3 linked regions of the Kluyveromyces lactis genome follow. The protein of the gene in region 2 purifies or fractionates together with the protein of the main gene of each other region. This does not show direct contact. Links are inferred from orthologs where the notes say so. Each region holds a gene or a part of one and is shown on either strand. Other genes may lie near its edges.

Region 1 (4,832 bases), on a different chromosome or scaffold from region 2:
AAGCTGTGAGACAAAAGAAAATCCCACCTCCATTCAAACCTCATTTGATCTCTGAGACTGACACTTCGAACTTTGATCCTGAGTTCACCCAAACCTCAACCTCTTTCATGAATAAGCAGCCGATTGCAGCTACTCCGCTTTCGCCTGCAATGCAAGCCAAATTTGTTGGATTTACGTTCGTTGATGAATCTGCTATTGATGAGCATTATAACAATGCATACAATAATCGTAAGTTTTTACAAAACTCATATTTCATGGAGCCCGGTTCATTTATTCCTGGTAATCCTAACCTACCTCCAGACGAAGACGTTATTGATGACGAGGAAGAGGATAATGATAGACTTGCAGCTGTGAAGGGAAGTGGTGGTATTTCTGTAGACTATGACGGCGACCATCACATGGATGATGAATTTGTTAATGGTAGATTCGAAATCTAAATCGAATTCATCTTACATCAGTGCTTTATACATTTTTTGGTTGATCTTTTTATTTCATTCACCTAATTAAGATAATTACATCCCAATTTTGCCATGCTACTGATTCTCATATTCTCCATTCGCAGTTGTATTTATTTAGTTTCCTGCTTTTCCCCACTATCGTTCAGAACATGTTCTATCATTTTCATATGAATCTAATTTGCAGGAAAAAGTTGAACAGGAATCGATCGTTGTTACTATAATATTCAATTGCCTTTACATCACCGTTTTTCAAAGTACGAATGTACAATTTTCCAATGCACGGATAATGGTTTTTCATGCCTTATTGTAATATTCTAGTGCTAGCTTTTAGAATGATTCTTACCTGTTCCCCAACCGAAGACAGTTTGTGAGCTCTCAGAAGTTGGATGGCCTTTTTATCTTTTTTCTTTGATTACATATGTTTAATGTAATCATTTACTTTTTCCAATGGAGTTTTGAGAACTGTTATCGAACCTCTTTAATCATTCAGTATTCACTAAAGACTTTAGTTAAACTTTACCTTAACTTAACTTAATTTATTATTTCCGTTATGATTTTCTTTTTAGAACGTCAATTGTAGTAATTATCCAAATGTATCATTTATTATTTTTTATTCTGTCTGTAATCTATGATATTCTTTCCACTTGCTAGTTCTCAATAATATGTTAACTGATATTTGTTCAGAGATATATACTTCAATAAATAAGTGATAAGTTTCTAAGATGATATGTGAAAATAAAAATAGGTTCGGCAAGAAGACACACTACGTATTAAACCAACGTTCTTGCAATATCACCACAACCTCTGTTTGATTGTTTTTCTTAAGAGCAGTGATGGGGATTGTATGAATCAACAGAACTGTTGAATTTGATCAGTGGCTTCTGCACATTTCAAAAGATTAAGATATTGACGGGTTCTCTTTTAACATCACCAGTTTTTCCAAAGGTTAAAGGTGTTCTTTTGAATCTTAGAGAGTTTTGTTTTTGAATTTTATTGGTTTCTTTTAGGTTGCAATGTTTCCAAAAGCCACGAAAGGTAAAAGATAATAAAAAATATGTACAATAGAAATGTAATATCGTTTCTAAACATTTCAGTGATGTGATTCTGTCATCTCTCATGAATATGTGTGTTTGTTTGTTGTTTTTTTTTCAGTTTTAAAGTACTATGTGTGTAACTTTGGCTAGTAGGAGAAAGGTTAAAATCTGTGAGTTATTTTTAACTGTGATGAAATTTACAATTCATCAGCGAAAGGTAGCTTAGCGACGTTACCTACAGCGGCGTAAGAGAATTTGTCCAACTTGACATTCTTGACATTAGAGACATCGATTGGAGCGTTTTCCAAAGATAATTGCAAGGCAGTGTATTCCTTAGCAGCTGAAATGTCGACATCCTTCTTCAAGGTATCAACGACCTTCTTTATGTTTTCAGCAACGACAGAAGCATCCTCACCCTTGACGTATAAAGAGAACAAGCCGGCATTAGCGTACTTGTCTAACTTAGCTGAGTCAATTAATGGAGACAATTCGGACAAAGCAGAGGTTAGGTACTTAGCCAAGACTTCGTAGGTAGCGAACTGTTCCTTAGTAACTGGAACAGCGATAGCGGCAACGGAGGCACCTGGAGCACTTAATCTGGCTTCACCGGAGAAGAACTTTGGTTGAGCTTGAGCAGCCAACTTGGAGCCAGTTGGTAAAGAACCAATCAAAGAGTCGTTGACAAATCTCTTCAAGTCAGCTTCGTTGACACCTTGACCAACAATTTCAATGTTTTCCTTGGTGTAGACCTTGTTGGCATAAGCCTTGATATCATCCAAGGTGACCTTCTCGACACCTCTGTATAGAACTGTGTTACCTAAGTCCTTTCTGAAAGAGACATTGTAAAGTAAGTCTTCGGCCTTGTTGATTGGGTTAGTTTCAGAAACGGAAATGTCGTACTTAGCAGCTGGCAAGACAGATTCTGGTAATTCGTGGGGTCTGAAACTGGTCTTGTACAAAACGTTACCCAAAGCGTTAACGAAGTATGGAAGATCTTCCTTCAAGAAAGTAGCCTTCAAAGTGATGTATTCTCTGTCAACACTGGATTCGAACTTACCACCCAACAATTCACTTTCTCTAACCAATCTCAAAGCAGACTTGTTACCGGTGTTATGGAAGTTGAATCTGGACAAAAGGTGGGCAATACCTTCTTTGTCGGCGTAACGAGAACCACCGTGAACCTTAACAGCCAAAGTGGATAGTTTACCGGAACCGTCTTTAGCGGAAATACTGAATTTTCTAGCAGTTTGCTGGGCAAATTGTAATCTACTGGACAACATCTTTATATTATATGTTTATGGGCTTTTTAATTTTGGGAGTCAGAATATCAATCAATATCAATATCAATTATGCGTTAATCAAAAGGTCTTCCTCTACTTTTCCTTTAATGTCCAAACTCAAATAATATTTACTCACACACAAAATAAGTATCGAAACAGAGCAAAAAAAGTACACTGACAGAGTAACGAGTAAAACAAAGTAATCAAAATAGTATATCAATCACAAATCTTTACAAAACCTGTAATCAAAACCAATCTTCAAACAAAAAGCTCTAAACTTTGAAGTAGAATTGTCATATTTTGTTATAAATTTTTCAAGAACCTATTGAATAAAGCTATATGCGATAAAATCCAATAACTAACAAAAAAAAAAAAAATTGAAAAAAAAAAGATATTTCGAGATGTGAAGACTGATCTCTACAGAGGAATCAGAGAAGAAGCGAGCTGATTCTGTAGAAAGGAGAAGCGTGCTTAGACCATCTTGGAGTCACAGTAAGAAGGGGATATCGGGTTTTAGCGGAACGTACTGGGAGTGAGAGGGAACAGACAGGAATCGCGTAATGCACTGTGAAAGGGTATTGGTAAACCATTTGAAGAAAAAATGGTTGGACACGGTTCTTAGAAATGATTGGTTCGTGAGTGATGAGATGTCACGTGACACAGAAACACAAAAGTCACGTGGTTGTGACCACGTGACTTACAATAATGTTGCCTGTTTCTTTCGATCTTCTTGAAAGACCCATCCATTCGTATTGAAAGAAAAAAAAAATCTATCAATTGAATTGATCTCATCTCATCTCATCGCATACATGCATGACTACTGCAACAAGGTGGCTCGACTGTAGAAAAGGTAGGAAAATAAACAATTGTTATTGCAAGCACTGACATGAGTGCTGCCCAAGCTGCCCTGATCCCCGATGCGGCTGTTCCAAATGGTGGTGCAAGTGTTGTATCAGCCGCAGAACCATCCACATCCACATCACCAGAACCAATCGATATCTCTTCATTAGAGCAGAGAACTCTTAACCCAGATTCGTTTTTATACTCTGAACTTGCCAGATCCCATCTTGGTGAAAGAGCCAGTACTGTTCTATCCGTGTTGGTCAACAAAGGAAGACTCTCCACGAGAGAAATTCATTCTTTCATACCAGAACTTTCGTTGTCCAGTATTAAAACCGTTTTGGTCAGTTTGATTCAATTAAGATGCGTACAATATTTGGAAGAAACCTCACTCTCTGGTCGTAAGACCCTTTATTACTACTTTAACGAAGAAGGTTTGTTCCTTATGTTATATGCGGGTGACATCAGCGACAGAATTGTTCAATATTTCAACCAGGATGAGGAGCAACACTTGGTCAACATCGCACAACAAATTATTCATAACGTTCTCGCCCTTGGATCACTTACCGTAAAAGATTATTTAGCGTCTGAATCCAATTCCAATGATACTGATATTTTCAATATCCACCAAGCTTTCGTCAGATTGGCTGATCTGGAATTTTTGGTTCCCTTGCAAGGGATCCATTATACACCAATCGTTGATTTATGGAATATGCTTTATCTACGAGAGTACAAGAAATTACCGAAAAACACCACACAGTCGGATTTGAAAAAAAGAAATGAGGCTAAAGCGAAGGCCAAGTTGGAGTTCAACAGAATTGTATCATCTCCATCCCAGGATTCAAATGGTAAGATCTTTTTAACAGATTCAGGAACTGGTTTCAAAAAAGTTAATGAATCTGTTTCTTTGACTTTCAATTTGGAGAGATACTTGAAATCAAGAAGATCAAACCAGTTAGTCCAGTTTGCCAAATCAAGAATTGGAACTACTTCATCCAAAATTTATGCTGTAGCTCTTTCCATGACAGAACAACACTCCAACGGGTTGAGTCATCCACTTTCCAAGACTGGCCTTTTCCAAGACCTTGATGAAAGAACTTCTTTGGAAGAAGACCTCAAACTTGACGAAGAAAATGTAAAAGGTGTTTCATTCACTGCACTTGATGTGGCGAGAAGACTCCCAAGCAACTTGGATTTAAGAGGTACTCTAGTTCACTCAA
Region 2 (4,426 bases):
CCACTAAACCACCGATGCCTAGTATTTGTTGATGTCTGTTGTACTAAGTTTGGGGTACAGTAACGTAATGATAATCATGCGACTACATATATGCTCCGTGTGACAAGTACTTGGACAGTGGTTCATATTAGTAAGTAAATCACTCTGGGGAACTTCCAAACATATCTTCCAATAACGCGGTAAATCGCAGGAAAGGAGAGGTTGTGAAACGGGCTGAAACAATAGTTATCTATCCCTTCCATTGCTGCTCGATGTGAAGGAATGTTTCTTCCTCATATTGAAAAAAAAAACTAATGATTTGAAGCTTTAGCATAAACTGAAATATCCATTGGCAATCTACAATTAACAGCTATAATCTATCATCCAGGCCCCTCTGAACATTGCATCGGATCAATAATCTATCATAGAACACATTAAGATATGGCTTTAACTTCGATCTTTGGTGGTAGCTCTTCATCATCTGGTACCCCAGCCACATCCAGTCCTAGCGATGTCAAGACCCAACTTAAATCTCAAATCTCTCAAGAATTAGCCATCGCCAATGCTACCGAGTTAGTTAACAAAGTCACTGAGAACTGTTTTGAGAAATGTCTGAATGCTCCATATGCTGCTTCTCAAGATAACTGCGTCGACCAATGTTTGGCTAAATATATGAGAAGTTGGAATGCCATTTCAAAGGCTTACATTAACAGAATTCAGCAAGCTTCGGTTAACGGTGAAATCTAAGGGGCGCAACTTTTGAGATAAAAGAAGTTATTTAATGCTCTGATTCATTACAAGCTACATGTATATAGATTTGTATAATGTTATATTCGCGTCTTACGTATAATCATACATTATGAATGCTATTTCATACCCGTCGAATAAATTCAGGTATATATATATAAACAAAAGTACGGTATTGGTACACAAATAATGGGTAATTCTTTTTTATTATCGTATAGACATGATTAATACACAGAAACAGCACAAACAATACATTGTATTTAAATACAATTGAGCCGCATATGTGATTGATTGATGAGATTTCAAATAAGTGAGTTGAAAATAAATAGGAGTAGAGGGAAAAACAGCTAACAACAAATAAGATGAACATCAATGCGCAGATATTCACGCTTTATGGTCATATATGTTTTACCCTTTTTATCTCTTGAATCGAGTGAGATTCCGATAGCGAAAAGGATGAATGTTATGAAAATCTGAGAACATCATTCCAAAGTTGATGTCCTAGGCCTGGTAGACGTATGGAGTGCCGGATAGATAAATGTTTCCCGACAGTAGCGTATCCACATTTTTAAAATATGTTTTGAAGTGACGGTATATTCTAAGAAGTAAAATAATTGAACAAAAGCATCAATGAAAAGACACTTAAAAGTATAATGATGAGAAATGATATAATTCAAATGTCAAAAGAAACTTATTCATCGTCTTCTTCATCTTCTTCACCACCGTTCATGATACCACCCTTGATATCTTTCCATAACTTACCTTTGTTGTGGTTTTCGTACCAAGAGGTCACACCAGTATCGAAGGCAGCTTGGAAAACGAAGGCAGAGGCGAACACGGTACCAACGAAAACAGAGTTTCTCTTAAAGACAGTTTTGTACAGAGTAGAGGCGAAAGACTGTGATAATTAAGTTGTTCAGAAAAATAATTGTTAGTAATATGATCTAATATTTCATGTAGTCAATCCGCAATGATCTGGGAAAACAGCCGCTGGATTTTGCCCAGAAGGTGTCCATTCTTCACTTGTTTGATGTAACTGATATACATGCGATAAGCCATGGTCGTACTTCGAAGATAAATGTAGTATTGAGACTGCCTTTCTATTATATGGAGATATCGGTCATACCTCCAGGGAACCTTAACAGGCATCGGAAACACCACGGGATATGCAGACATTCAGCTTTGGAAGTATATTTCACTAATAATAGTATAATTGTACATTAGCATCTGCTCAATGTAATTTGCATCGTGTTTACAAACAGTTTTTTCAGTTCCCAGTTTTCGGTTTCTCAATTCCAGAAGTCAAATAAGACATCTACGCCAAAATCAATGTTTTCAGATCCAGAAAAGACGCATATCATATGTATTATCCATGACTAATCAAATCATTAACATACCATTTCTAAAACGGGAGTTCTGGTTTCTGTTGAGCTGAACTTTTTCTTATTAAACCTTGTCTTTGGCATCAGTCGAAGTTAGCTTTCCGTTTTATACATTTATCCAGTTTTTCAAAAATTTGAAGAAAAGTTCCGTACTCGGATATAATTGGGTCGTATGGTATGATATCCAGAAGTAATCACGTGCAAAAGTCTAGTACTGGGAGTACTTTCAACATGAATTATCAAAGGGTGGGACAGAGTCAGGCTACAATAAAAGATTCTGTAAGATATTGGACGGCATAGTATCCTGTGGTCAGTCCACTCCACATATTGCAGATTTATGCAAAACTAGTAAAAATATCTTATATCGATGTGTGCATAAACGAAATAACGTGCTATTCTATATATATTTGGTACATTGAAGTTGTGAATGGTGCCATAAGGTTAAGGCAATTTTGAGGTGTGACGAGCAAAAAGTTATTCATTCTACGTTATTTAACTCGTTGAAATCAAAACCTTCTTCTGCAGAACTGTATTCCGTGTCTTGATCTTCCGAAGCGTTGTTTTCGTGCTCTTCGTCCTCACCATCTTCATTGCCGTCACTTTGATCATTCAGTTCAAAGTGCTCTCTATTTCTATCTGCACGGCCGAAGAATCCATTCATTGCATTTCCTTGCAGTTGTTCAATGATATCTTCTGTAGTCGGAATGTCTGCGCCATCACCTTGCATACCCCCTCTCATGTTTTGAACAAACTCGAAAAAATCATGTATGTCACCTCTTTCGGTTGGTAATCTTATAGGGATATCTCCACCGAATGGTCCACCATTGATGCGTAATTCAACATCAGGCTGTCTAAACCTTAGATCTGGACGATCATCATTCCCAAACTCATCATCGTTCATAAGGTCCTCGTCACTGCTCTCCCCACCAGCGTTGAAAGCAGCACCAGGTCTCCAAAACATGTTCCTCGTAAATGTTCGGTTATTTGCCATCGCAACCCTGAATTCGTCCCCCATTACTCGGCTGATATAACCGGGGATACCATTTGAAATCCAAAGACGAGTTAAATGTTCATATCTAGCATGATTTAATACTGTTAGATCACCTCGTTCGATAGCGTTTCTTCCTGATTCACCGTGTGAGTTCAAATAAGGGGCCGAAATGTTGACGGTACAGTCCGGTCTACTTAAATAGAGGCACACTTGACTGATATTAGGAATTAAAAACAACCCACTGGAACCATGGGAACACCTTTCCATGTGCTTTTGCATTTCAAGGCCATCTGTACGTGCGTGAATCTTGACACCACATATCAAACAAATTTTATAATCAAGTCTGTTGACAGTATTTCTAATTTTTTGATCATTCTCTTCACGCAAAGTAATGTTTTTATTATTAGTCACATAAGTATTCAAATGAGTTGCTAAATCGGTTAATTTGATGATACTGCAGTACTCATGTGGAGCATTAACCAAGGAGCTTTCAGGGGAGAGAGGAGAATGCGAATTCATCAACAAGTCATAAAAATCAGTCTGGAGCAAAAATCTTATCAAAAGATGGAAATGTTTTTCTTTGCTTTCGGAAGTAAGGCTACCACTCAGCACATCTTTTTCATTAAAATCTAAATCATCCCCCCCTGTCATAAATTGCTTTAAGGCCTTCAGCAAGATAATTGATCTCCTTAGCGTAGGTAGCAATTCAGAAATTAAGAAGGTATAGAACAAATCCAAGGTGTGCTTTTCAACTTGATCACCAAATCCAGCTCCTAATATCGTTGTTTTCAATACAATTGAAAATTCAGAGGAGTCAAGGCAAGTCTGGGCTCGAAGCTCGGATTCATATTTCCTATAGAAAGACCCAAAGTCTTTTGTCAGACCCTTCAAACGCTCCACGAGTACTTCCTGTAAACAATCCTTAAAGGAAAGTCTAGACCTTAATACCGTTTCAACAACTCGGAAAAACGGATAACTTGGTAAATTGCTGCTACGAATATCTTCATAGAATTTGAGTACATTCTCTTCAGTATGCTTAGTTAATCGTGTGTAGACAGCCAAGGACTTGAGAATGTTCTGCAGTGTCTTAAATTTCTGTTCTTCACCTGATAAGAGTGTTCCAAAAGGATCTTTATTAAGCCTGGACAACATCTCTAGCATACAGATGTTGTTAGAAAACTGAAGAGAGAGAGTTAAAAACCTATCCTGGATCCAAGTAGGATCATTGCGATTTAACCGTAGACCATTGTTAGAATCTTTGAGAGATAGTATTATTTTTCCAACTTCGTCGTTACATTCAGAGCTGTACTCAGAAAAAGTTAGCAAT
Region 3 (5,086 bases), on a different chromosome or scaffold from region 2:
TGGACACCCAGGCTGGGCAAAGAGTGTCCAAACACAAACCCAATGGAAGATGTTTCTCTGATACCTATTGAGTGGATCCGCACGAATAAAGAAGATGAGAAGTCTTTGCAGGCGTTTATTTCGAAGATTGAAACTATAGTGGCTGTAAATTTTGGTTATGATGACTTCGACGACGACAATGAAGATGGTACAGATCATGACATCGGTCGTGGATATGATAACCATGGCGATGTGCTCATCGAGGAATACGAGGAAATGGATGAAGAATTCGAAGATGAGGACTATGAGGATCACGAAGATGAAGAAGAAGATGAAGAAGACGAAGACAACGACAGTGACGTCGACGAAATGGAAGCAGAAGAGGTGGAAGAGGATGCAAGTGACGACATCTCTATAGGCGAGATAGCAGAAAATGATGACCAAGATAATGCACATACAGATGTTACGGACACTCAGCTTAAGTACAATGGCGTTCCTATCGAAGAAGAGCTTCGATTATCTTCAACAAGTAGCGTTTTATCCGTCAGTTCACACGCGGCCAATGAAGATGAAAATGAAAGCATTCTTTCGAGGAAAAGAAATGTCACCGAGTTGGATGATTATCAGTACAAAGAAACCAAGGAGAATGATGGCTTCATAACAACTCCAAAGAAAAGTAAAATGCCCTTGAACGAGTTTGGATCATCGTCATCTATGGTATCCCCCGTAGTATCTAATCAGGAGGATCCATCCAGAAACGATGATTCAAGGATAAATACATTCATTTCTCCAGATACAACGAATTCAGTAACTCAAGCGGAAAAAAATGAGTTATCTACTAGTCCGTTGCAAGACAAAAAAAGAATGTGATCATGCAGCGCATGATTACGCAGTTATCATCAAGAAGTTCCACGCTATTATGTTAGATACAGAATAAAAACACAAGGCCTTAATTTAAGAATTCAGTTAGTTTTTTCATACATATGAAATAAATATAAATAAAGAGTTTATTAATATTTCCCGTGATACAAGGAAAACATAAAGGTCACTCTTCTTAGTATCAAATGAATATATCAGTAGGTTATTTCAGACAGGATTAATTATAATAATTTGATGTTTTTTTTCAGGTTTCGATATAGAAAGTAGAGTGTTGAATTTTTTTTTTAGGATGACTTGAATACCGCAATTTCCAGATTACCTCAAGAGAAAGTCTTGATGGTTAAAATGTATTCAATTGCTCACCAGTAAATGACAGTATCATAAATAAGGACATTGAACTCATATTTTTGTTTCGACGAATAATGAGCGAGATTTTGATTTATTTCGATTTAGCCTAAATTTTCAAATATCATTTGGAATTAAAAAATACATTATGTTCATTAAATGTATTGATCTTGAGGAGCTGTGACAGAGCGAAAAATCGAATGCGCCAGTAAACACCCTAGACTTTAGTCCAAAACAGTAAAATATTGATATAAATCGATCGTGACAAATTTCTTTTTTTGGGGGAATATACACACATGAAATTAAACTGTAACTTATTACTCATCGAGTGATATGGTTATAACAACTCAAAAGTAAATGTTACAGGGAGTAATTCTACTCAGTCGAGTAGAAAAGAGAGAATTGTTTTTAGAATGACCGTCGTGAAATGAGAATATAATATAAAAAGAATTGTTAAAATATCTTAAGACTCGGCTTTTAGTTTGATTACCATCTCATCATACTCATGTCGTTTCTCATTCTGACGTAGTCCAACAAGTCTTCAATCTTACCAGTACCGGCAACAGCGATATCTTGATCCCATAATCTTTCGGAAGCCCAAGCCTTAATATCCTTGGAGGTAATTTTGTCAATCTTAGTGAAGACTTCAGCCAAGGCTGGCTTAGCACCCAAAACCAAGGTTTGAGCACCCAACAAGTTAGCAGCAGCAGCGTTGGTAGAAACTTGAGAAGCCAACTTCAACTTTAACAAAGACTTAGCACGAGCGACTTCAGTTTCGGTGACAGAGATGGACAATCTGTTCCATTGCTTCAAAGTGAAATGGACAGTTTCATCGATGTTGTGTGGGTCGGTGATGGTGGTTCTGAAACCCCACAAACCGGAGTCCTTATAAGAGACAGAGAAGTGTTCGAAAGAGTCACACAAGTGGTATTCGTTAACTTCGTCGATCAACTTAACACCTTGTAGGTTGGAAGCTGGTTCAGCAGCAACGAAAGTACCGAAGACTTCAGCAGCGACTTGAGCAACATAGTATTGTGGAGAATTGATAGGTTCACCTTCAGCAGCGATAGATACCCAAGCCTTTGGTAGAGTATCATCTCTTAGTCTGACTTCAGAACCCAAGAAAGTGGACTTCTTCTTTGGCACTGGTTTGTCACCAGATAGCAAAGAAAGCTTAGTTTCAACAGCCTTGACCAATTCATCGTGGTTAACGTTACCGGTACCAACAATAACAGAGTTGTTTGCCTTGAATTGGTTTTGAACGAAGTTGGACAAGTCGATGTTTTCCAAACCTTCTAGAGTTTCGACAGTACCTCTGACTGGCAAAGACAATGGAGTGTTTTGGAAAGCAGTGGCGTGCAAGTGTTCGAAAACACGTTGTTCGTGTTCAGTTTCTTCGAACTTGGCAACAGTGTCTACAGTAGCTCTCTTGGAACTTTCGAAGACGGAGTCCTCAATTGGAGCGAAAAGCTTGGATTGCAAGAATTCTAGAGCCTTAGCATATTGACCTGGTTGAGAGTTAACAATGTAAGATTGGTGGTCTCTGCCAACCTTGGTTTCTAAGGAGAATCCCAATTTTTGAGCATCCTTGATAGAAGAGTTGACAAAGGAGTTAGCCAACAAGTTGGAAACACCGTTGTTGTATGGGTTTTCGGCAGTAGTACCGGAACCGAACACCAAACCGACCGCAGCAGTGGCAGAGTTGCTGTTTGGTTCAGTAGCAACAACAACACCGTTAGATAGTTCGGTGACGATGGCTTTTGGGGTAATTTGAGTGGCAATGGTTCTCTTCAAGATTGAAGATCTAGTAGCGGTTCTCAACATCTTTCTTATGGCAAATAATTGGTTATAATCCGTTTAATCAATATAGTGTGTTGAATTTGTACGTGCAAAATAAATAGAATACGGGATCAAAAACAAGTCAATGAGCTCCCAAATGTAATACCTTCGAAGTTATAATTCTCGTTTACTTTTTTCCTTGGAAACCTTTCTGTTGGTATACTATCGATTCAAAAAACAGTATAGTGGTATTTCACTGAAAAAAATATAAAGCAAAGTTTGGATAGTTTTTAGCCTAACTGAATTCTCAATTTCCTTAAAATTGTGCACACTTGACTGAAGCAATATACAAGAGTAGAAAACTATAAACAGGTCTAAATAAAGTTAGTGTACTTTCATTAAACAAATATCAATGATTTATCTAACTACTTTTAATTTTTTTTTAATTTTGGAAGGTTACACTATATGAAAAAAGTGAAAAATGTTGATACTGAGAGCGCTGTCTAGTTTTTCGATATTTCCATAATTTTTTTTTTTTACCTCTTCTTCTTTGTCTTCTCTGTAGCATAGAGATTTTCTTTCATTGGACAACGACCTGTCCACATAATTAATAGGGGACCCCCTTTGAACAATTATTAAAATCGTTTCTGGCCGAGAAACTGGTCCGAAAAACAAAAATTTACATAGTAGCGAGTACTTTTCGGGACGAGAATTTAGCCCCAAAACTGCTAATTCCATCTGCTCGAACATTTCCAATCAAATCGACATTTTTGGGATTGCATATCCCTCTTTCTCGCTCATCTCGCAGTTACGGAAGTATCGGTACCAGCATTTCTTTTCCCATAATAAACAGTGGAAATGCTCGATTTCCTATGGTAAGCGGTAAACTTTGAATGAAAAATGAACCGTGAAATACGATGCCCGAACTGGATTTCCATTGGTTCGTCAAAGATGATCAAATACCGAGATTGAAATTCGACTCACGTGAATAAAATTACACTTACCCGCACAATAGAAAGATTCGGGTAAGTACCAAAGTCCAAATGAGTACTTTTTTTTTTTTTGATTACTTGCTTGCTTGCTGGTGGTTTGTGCGTACAGTGTAAGTGTTCGATTCTCGCCTTGAAAACACCGCAACGAATATCCATTCGGATTTACTCTTCGGAAATAAAATCATCATTTCATTCGCCAACTATCCCTGCATGTATTTACGACTTCTTCAAGCAAGGTTTCTAAGAAATTTAGAAGGGAGCTTATTCCCGCAAAGCAAAATGCGCTGAAAAATGGTCGGTCCATCAGGATCCAAATATCTTAACTCCCATGTAATCCCCGTCCGGAACGGTTGTTGTTCTTGCCGCCAGTTTTGAAAGAATGCCTCCCGTATTATTTCAGTTTTCTTTTGACATGGATTCTTGGGTTAACAGCCGTGGTAAAATAGCTCCGCGGGATCTATTTTATTACATGGAAGGGATTTTCTACGTTTTTGCATGCTAGGAAATACGAGTAACAAGGGTCAGCAGACTGTAAACACATGTTGGTACTGATAATCCTATCAGTAGCTTTCAGTCTGGCTTTCAGAATGGCTCGGAGTTCGTTGCTTGGTTTTGTGAGGAAGTTGAGTGCTTTTTTGTGCATTTGTCAGTTTCATGGTATGTACTTTGGATTGCATTTGTCAAAATGGAAAGGGGAAAATGCCGAAAAATATGTGTTTGGTGTTTTGTGCTAGGTGCAAGTTCGAGCGACACTAATGCAAAAAAAGCATTTGTAATAATAATGGCTCATCTCAGGAACGGGTTTTAAGTTTTACAAAGCTGAGAAGTTTATCGTTTTGAGATGTGTCAAAGGTGGTTATAAAACGCTTCGGATACTTTGCGGGCCTTATCAAATATCCACGTATATCTGAATTGCTTTGTCACGTCTTTACTTATATATATATATATGTATGTCGGGTGGGTGTAAATATTATCTGACACTGGCTGAGATTATCTGTTGACGCCCCATAGTAACGTCATTAGTTATAGTCAACGACATCAAAACGGTACTCCAGAGCGAATTAACTTTTACTGTATTAAGGACAGATAACTGCCACCAAAAAGAACATACT

The links. The genes of interacting proteins can lie anywhere in the genome.
Region 1: the proteins of QCR9 (region 2) and QCR2 purify together in Saccharomyces cerevisiae (affinity purification with western blotting; 3 studies listed by BioGRID, with this or other methods). This does not show direct contact. The link is inferred for Kluyveromyces lactis from reciprocal best matches to the Saccharomyces cerevisiae genes QCR9 and QCR2.
Region 3: the proteins of QCR9 (region 2) and COR1 purify together in Saccharomyces cerevisiae (affinity purification with mass spectrometry; 3 studies listed by BioGRID). This does not show direct contact. The link is inferred for Kluyveromyces lactis from reciprocal best matches to the Saccharomyces cerevisiae genes QCR9 and COR1.

The regions. Positions count from the first base shown.
Region 1 is NC_006038.1:322,476-327,307, reverse strand, and holds QCR2 (ubiquinol--cytochrome-c reductase subunit 2), read right to left. Parts: upstream 2,773-4,832; coding exon 1,690-2,772; downstream 1-1,689. Other genes in the region: serine/threonine protein kinase SCH9, read left to right, coding at 1-437; RPC82 (DNA-directed RNA polymerase III subunit C82), read left to right, coding at 3,659-4,832. UniProt on the Saccharomyces cerevisiae protein: Component of the ubiquinol-cytochrome c oxidoreductase, a multisubunit transmembrane complex that is part of the mitochondrial electron transport chain which drives oxidative phosphorylation.
Region 2 is NC_006042.1:1,407,870-1,412,295, forward strand, and holds QCR9 (ubiquinol--cytochrome-c reductase subunit 9), read right to left. Parts: upstream 2,193-4,426; coding exon 2,124-2,192; intron 1,625-2,123; coding exon 1,418-1,624; downstream 1-1,417. Other genes in the region: protein translocase subunit TIM13, read left to right, coding at 421-726; E3 ubiquitin-protein ligase UBR1, read right to left, coding at 2,587-4,426. UniProt on the Saccharomyces cerevisiae protein: Component of the ubiquinol-cytochrome c oxidoreductase, a multisubunit transmembrane complex that is part of the mitochondrial electron transport chain which drives oxidative phosphorylation.
Region 3 is NC_006041.1:507,099-512,184, reverse strand, and holds COR1 (ubiquinol--cytochrome-c reductase subunit COR1), read right to left. Parts: upstream 3,028-5,086; coding exon 1,690-3,027; downstream 1-1,689. Other genes in the region: PSY4 (Psy4p), read left to right, coding at 1-849. UniProt on the Saccharomyces cerevisiae protein: Component of the ubiquinol-cytochrome c oxidoreductase, a multisubunit transmembrane complex that is part of the mitochondrial electron transport chain which drives oxidative phosphorylation.